2 linked regions of the Cricetulus griseus genome follow. The protein of the gene in region 1 binds, or shares a complex with, the protein of each later gene. Links are inferred from orthologs where the notes say so. Each region holds a gene or a part of one and is shown in the gene's direction. Other genes may lie near its edges.

Region 1 (2,659 bases):
TCGATCCATTTCAGATACTTGTGGCAGCAAACAAAGCTGTTCATCTCCACAAACTGGGAAAAATGAAGACAAGGACTCTGTCTACTGAAATTATCTTCAACCTCTCCCCAAATAACAATGTAATGTGGTGACTGACTTTATTTCTGTTGGTCTTGTCATTGTAGAATGTGCCCTCCCCCCTGTGTAGCAGTGGGGGCCGGGTTCCTCCAAGCCAGCTGTTAGTACTAAGCCAAAATAGTTTCATAGAGAGGTCTAGACAGCCATTTAGTACTGCAAGTAGCTGTGGAGTCAGTTTCCTGGTCAAAGGTTAAAATACTTGAGGATGGTATTATCTGCAATGCCCATATTATGTTAAGTAGACCCCTGAGCAATTTTGCTTAAGAAACTGGAAGAAACCCACACTATAAAACATGAGGTATAGATACATTTTGTGTCAGTCTCCCTGTAAACTCCTAGAGATGGGCTGTGTGTCTTTTTTTTATAGTCAGTACCTGGAACTTTCTGTGACCTGGTAGAGCAGTTGATGCCTGCTCACTCACACACCCAGGGCATAGAAAAATTCATGGTTTGAAACCTTCATAGGAATGCAAACCCCCCCCCCCACCTCCCAGGTTTGGGTGTGTGCTTGAATGTGTGTGTGTGTGTGTGTGTGTGTGTGTGTGTGTGTGTGTGTGTGTATGTGTGTGTTGTATGTGTGTGTATATGTGGTTGTGGTACACAGATTCATGTGTGGGAGTGTGGGGGCCTGAGTATTACAACATGATTGTGAAGGTCTAAAGGACAACCTCAGATGGTCCTTGCCTTCTACCTTTTCCAGACAAAGTCTCTTTGTTTTTCACCACTGGGTACACCTGGGCTTCAAGCTTCTTGGATTCTTCTGTCTCCACCTCCTATCTTGCTGTACCAGCACTGGGGTTATAGACCATTGCTGTTGTACCTGACTTTTCATGGGCTAGGGATTTGAACCAAGATCCTCACACTGGCTTGACAACTGCTTTACCCACTGAGCCATCTCCCCATCCCAGGAGTGCTTATTAAATGGGAGTTGTTGAGGTGATGACATTCTGTGTGTGACATGGAAAAAGATGCCTGACCTCAGCTGATGAGGTCCCAGTATTACTGCTGCTATTAGTAACAGCCAGGTACTAATATCAAAGGGAAGATTTGGAACCATATGGCAAGAATTAAATCACACTTGGTTGCAAAGTTTATAAAATGCAGTCAGCATGGCAACAGAATCCCCCATTAATAGAACCATTGGAAATAATTGAAGACACCATTCCTGATCAAGACGAAGTTCTAGGGACAGAAGAGACAAGTGTGATAGCAGTTGCTGGAAAGGGATTGTAGAAGGGGAAAGTATGCTCTGAGAAACAGGGAGGCTGACGAGCAGGTCAGAAGTATTCCAGACAGAAGACACTGACTCATTTGCCTTTTTTTTTTTTTTTAATCATAGATTTCAGAGGCTTTGAAGAAATTTGGTATCTCGGAAAGTGCCACTTCAGTTCTCATTGTTTACACTGAAGAGGGAGAGAAACAAATAAACCAAGAACACCTAGTATCTCAAGTGGAAGGCCAACAGGTTCCTTTGGAATGTCTTCCAGAAATAACAAAGCTCTCAGAAGTCAAAAAGGTTTGTAATACACGTTTTTTAAGAGTTCAGTAGTTGAATTATACTGATGCTTTTTGTTCATCACTGTTAAAAATTTTGAACTATTCCATTAACTTTAGTTAGCATACAAGATAATGGTTTCATTACCTTTTCACAAATCCTATTACTGCTTTTACTCATATCTGCCTCCTCTCATATTCCCAATATCCTTTGAACTTTTAAGTAATAGTATGGGCCTGGAGAGTTGACATAGCAGTTAAGAGTCAGCAGTTATTCCAGAGGACCTGGGTCTGATTCCAAGTCCGTTCATAACCATCTGTAATTCCAGTTCCAGGGAATCCGATGCCTGCTCCTGGCCTTCGTTGGAACTGCACACACATAGTACACATATATAGAGGCCAAACACCCTTACAAGTAAAATCAAGAGAGGTTTAGAAATATTAAAATAATTTTGCAGATACTTCATAAAAGAAAAGAACTGGGACCTACAAGTTTGTGGAATGTAATTTGGAATAGAGTCACAGAACTGTAAGAAAAGGGATCTCTTTCAACATTCAGTGACTGTGTGAGTTGATATCTACATGTGTACTCAAAACTGATACAAATGGGATTTGTGTGTTCAAGAAATTTGTTTTTTTATATTAATACTTACACTTAAAAAGGATATTTGACATGTGTGGCAAATAACCACCTGCTTTGAACACTTTAAACATTGTGAATGAAACCATTAATGCCATAATAAAATGGTAATGCCACGTGGTAATGTATATGTAATAACCGTGTATGGACTTGCCAGCACTCATAGATTGTCATTCACTTTTACAGATATATAAACTGTCATCACAAGAAGAGAGTATCGGGACATTATTGGATGGTATCATTTGTAGGATGTCAACAAAGGATGTTTTATAAGATGCCCAAAACATCAACAGAAAAATCTGAGTTAATCACCAGCTGTTTTTTTCCTGGTTATAAAATTAACATATCACTGAAAATGGGAAAAAGAAACCACTACTAGCCCTATTTTGTTTTCACTTCTTAAAGACA
Region 2 (4,291 bases), on another chromosome or scaffold:
TGCAATCCCAGCAGTACTTGTCAAGTGAAGGAGAATCAGGAATTCAGGGCAAGTATGATTTACATAAGACCCTATCTCCAACAACAAAAATGCTTAGTTAATACATTTTATAAAGATAATGGTGTTAAGAAACAGCTCACACAGAGGCTTGGAGCCTTTCTTTCCTCCTTCCAAGGAAGTGGGGTGTGTCTTAGTGGTGATCCTTTGATTTAAATGCCAGTGACCATCTGCGACTATTTCTGGGATACAAGATTTAATTCCACAACCCAACAATTTTGCAGTGCAAACCCAAGTTGGTTAACGAAGACAAATAGCATTATGACTTTAGTCCACACCACACAGTAACTCCAAGTTCTTTCCCTCCTTCCCCAGTCTTCCACTCCACCCACGGGCATAGCTAGCTTGCTTCCTTCCACCAATTCTCATCCTGTTGGTGCCTTCCTACCCACCCTTCTCCACTTTTGTACTTAGATGTACGGGATGCGTCACTAAACCCTACATCACCGGCCCTCAAACAACTCTTGTTTACAAGGTCGCACAGGCGCCAAGCAGATCCTTTCCTCCTCTCTCGGCTTTCCAGGGTCACATGATGTTTTGGTTCCGATCTACTCCGGAGGGAGAAGGGGTGTCTGTCACACAACACATACACTCGGAACTTTACCGGGAAGGAAAAAAGAAAGAAAGAAACCAGCTAGCAGTTAAACTAGACTGCACGGGCACATTTTTCAAATCCAGCCCACTTCCCTTTAGCTCTGCTCACCCTCCCCCCCCCACCTGGTGCCCAATTAAGCTTCTTTAAGAGTGGAAGGAGTGGGGCGAAGAATATCGGGGTGGTTTGAGAAGTCACGAGGACGAGCTCGTGGAAAGCAGGCCACCAAGAGGCGACAACGAGGAGGGCAGAGCTGCTCCTGCTGCTGCTGCTGCTGCTGCTCGGGGACCGGAGCCTGCAGAGAGCCTCGGGCAGGGCGGAGGGAGAGCCCTGCTGGCGACAAGCTGAGGATCAAAGGGCCGCAGGGCCGGCCGGGGCTGTGGAAGCCCGGGGTGAAGGGCAGCCCTGGAGCCGGGGCGGCCGCCGCCGCCGCCGCCGCCGCCGCGGGCGGGAAGCAGCAGAACGGCGGGTGCAGCGGGCCGCGCGCACCTGCGAGTAGGAGCACTTCTCCGAGTCGCTGGCGCCCAGGACGGCGCACGCCTCGTTCTCCAGCTCCTCGTCCTCCTCAAGCACGTCCACCAGCGACACCACGGGCTCCAGCTCCGCCGGGCAGCCGGCGGGGCTCTCCGCTCCGGCCATCCTCAACTGTCACAGCGCTCCGCGGCGCGGCCCAGGCGGAGGCGGGAAAAGGGACCGCCTGCGGGGGGGGCGTCGCGAGGAGGCGGGGCCTGATCGTCAGGCAGCCAATGGTAAAGGTGGAGATGGAAGAAAATGGGCGGGGCGGGTGCCGGGAGTCGGAAGTCATGCCTTTTACCCGTCTCTCCCGCCCGCGCCGGCCCGCGGGGTGGCTTCCGCTTCCGGGTGGCGGTTCTCTGTGGCGCGCCGTTGAAGCGAAGGGGTCGCCATGGAGCTGACGGGCGAGTACGTCGGGTGTGACGGCGAGCCCCGGCGGCTGCAAGTGTCCTGTGAGGCGTCGGGCGACGCGGACCCTCTCCAGAGCCTGTCGGCGGGTGTGGCCCGGATGAGGGAGCTGGTAGCCGAGTTCTTCGGGCCCCTCGTGGAGCAGCGGGACGCGCAGGGCGTGACGGCAGATCCGGAGGACGCCGAGGAGGGTGAGCGCGGGGCGCCGGGGTCTCCGGCTGTGTGAGGGAAGGGCTGGCAGCCTTGGCACAGCGAGTCTGGCCGGCCGGCCGGCGCGGGCGAGCAGGAAGGCTCGCATCTGAAAACGGTTGGCCCTCTCTGCCCCGCGTTTTCCACGACTCTTCCTTCACCTCAGCCAGAAGAGCGTGGCGAGCGTTTGCCTGGGGGCTGGACAGGGAGCCGGGTCAGCCCGACGCCTCCCGTCTTGCGGGGCGCGGAGGACTGAGACCCGCAGAGTGGAGCCTGGGGGCGTGGGGGGTGGGCTGGGCTGGGGGTCTGCAGTCGCTGCTAGCTGGAAGGAAGACCTAAGGGGCGGCCCGTGGCGCCAGTGGGGGGGAGTCTTCCCCAGGTGTGAAATTAGAAACCTGTTTGGCACAGCGGGCACAGCTTCGGAAGGTCGAGACCGACTGTGTCGTGGGGAGTCTTAACCCTCAGAGGGTCCTTTCTCGAGTCTGTTTTTGAAAGTATAAGGGGGTTTCGGTTTTGCTGTGTGGGTGTGGGTGTGTGTTTTAAAGTCACCGATAGTCTCATGCGTGCATGTAATGCGCTGTGGTCATTTTCTCCTTCTCTTTCGTCCCCTGCTTGAACCATTCCCGATGACACACACACACACACACACACACACACTCACACATACACACACACACACACACACACACACACACACACACACACACACACGCCGCTTTCTTTTCTGCCTTCCTTTTTGTTGTCTCTCACTGAGTTTAAGGTTCTTTGTATGAGAAGGGGTGGATGGTTATTTACTGGAGCAAGGGCAACTCAGCGGTGACTACACCACAGAAGAAAACGTCAGCTCCTCCCCCAGCACCCATTAACTGTCAAAAACTCCTCCGGGCGGGATGGGACCCAATGAGCCCCTGTTGAGGTTGCCGTCTCGTTCAGGTAACCACAGTTGTTGCCCCTGTGTCCGAGCCATGTCATGGTCAAAAGAAAGTTTCACCACAGCCATTCCCTTCCTCTAGCCCCTACTATCATTCACCCCCTCTACTGTTGTAGAAATAAACTGTTAGTTTTTTGGGTTTTGGTTTTTTTTTTAACAAGGTGGATGTTTTGCCTGCCGCTTACTTGTGTCTGTGCACCACTGCTCTATGCAGTGTGCTCCGAGGCCAGAAGAGGGCATCAGAACCCCTGCAGGCAGTGGTCTTAACCACTGATCTCTCCAGCCCCAACTCTGTTAATAGAAGAAAAAAAAAAATTGTAGACAGTGTCACAGGGTACCACTGGTTGGCCTTGGATTAGACCAGGTTGACTTTGAATTCGCAGAGATCTGCCTGCCTCTGCCTCATCAGTGCTGGAATTAAAGACATGCACCACCAAACCTGACCTTTGTTAAATTTTATTTTTAATCTTGAACACAAAAGAGATTTCATTACTCTGAGCTAAGGAGTCAGTTCTTCTACAGAGGAGATTAAACTGTACTGTTCTTTATAATAGGGTTATTGACTGTCATTAAGAAGAACAGTAAGTAAAATCTGGGGATGGTTGTGGTGCACACCTTTAATCCCAGCATTCGGGAGGCAGAGGCAGGCTGTGAGTTAAAGGCTAGCCTGCTCTACTGAACGAGTTCTAGGACAGCTAGGGTTACATAGAGAAATCCTGTCTTGAAATAATAATAATATTATTATTTAATAATAATAATTTAAAATAATAATAATAAAGTATTAGCTAGGTGCATTGGTCAGGGTTCTCTAAAGAAGCAAAACCTATTGATAGAATATCTTTGTTAGAGTGCCCTTACAGCCTGTGGTCTGAATAGTCCAACAGTGGCTTTCTCCTTACAGAAACACCAAGGATCCAGTAATTGTTCAGTCTCTGAGACTGGATGCCTCAGCATTCCTAATCTGGTGCTGGAGTCCCAGCAAAGTAGGTTATAACACCAGCAAAGAGGTGTCTCAGGAATAGATAGATGAACTTGCTAGTCAGAGTAAGGGCAAGCAGGCAAAAACTATAGTACCCCAGTTACACCACTAGTTCTCCAAAGTTAATTGGAAATATGTTTATACCAAAACTCAATAATTGTAGTAGCACTGTTCATTAATAGCTGTGAAATCAAAATAATACAACTGCCCATCACCAGAGTAAAACATGAGCATTCTTTTAATTGTTGAATAGTATTCATTGTGTAGAATAAAGTATTTGGCTGGGGAGATTGCTCAGTGGGTAGAGCTGCACAAGCATGGGATTGTGAGTTTGGCTTCAAGAACCCATGTACTGCCATGTGCCCATAATCCTAGTGCTCCCTGCTCCCTGCTCCCTGCAGTGAGTTAGGGAATAGAGCCAGGAAGCATAGTGTATGCAAAGATACATTACCCCCCCCCTTTTTTTGTTTGTTTGTTTGTTTTTTAGGGGGGATCAAGACAGGGTTTCCCTGAGTAGCATTGGCTGTCCTAGAACTCACTCTGTAGACCAGGCTGGCCTTGAATCAGAGAGCCAGCTGTCTCTGCCTCCCAAGTACTGGGACTGCAGGTGTGCACCGCCACC

What was found. The genes of interacting proteins can lie anywhere in the genome.
Region 2: Tprkb (region 1) and EKC/KEOPS complex subunit GON7-like share a complex: the UniProt entries of both Homo sapiens proteins name them as parts of the EKC/KEOPS complex. The link is inferred for Cricetulus griseus from reciprocal best matches to the Homo sapiens genes TPRKB and GON7.

The regions. Positions count from the first base shown.
Region 1 is NC_048601.1:74,424,875-74,427,533, forward strand, and holds the end of Tprkb (EKC/KEOPS complex subunit TPRKB), read left to right. Parts: coding exon 1-119; intron 120-1,456; coding exon 1,457-1,633; intron 1,634-2,069; coding exon 2,070-2,144; 3' UTR 2,145-2,159; downstream 2,160-2,659. UniProt on the Homo sapiens protein: Component of the EKC/KEOPS complex that is required for the formation of a threonylcarbamoyl group on adenosine at position 37 (t(6)A37) in tRNAs that read codons beginning with adenine.
Region 2 is NC_048598.1:103,312,456-103,316,746, forward strand, and holds the start of EKC/KEOPS complex subunit GON7-like, read left to right. Parts: upstream 1-1,491; 5' UTR 1,492-1,553; coding exon 1,554-1,761; intron 1,762-4,291. Other genes in the region: putative E3 ubiquitin-protein ligase UBR7, read right to left, coding at 1,139-1,288. UniProt on the Homo sapiens protein: Component of the EKC/KEOPS complex that is required for the formation of a threonylcarbamoyl group on adenosine at position 37 (t(6)A37) in tRNAs that read codons beginning with adenine.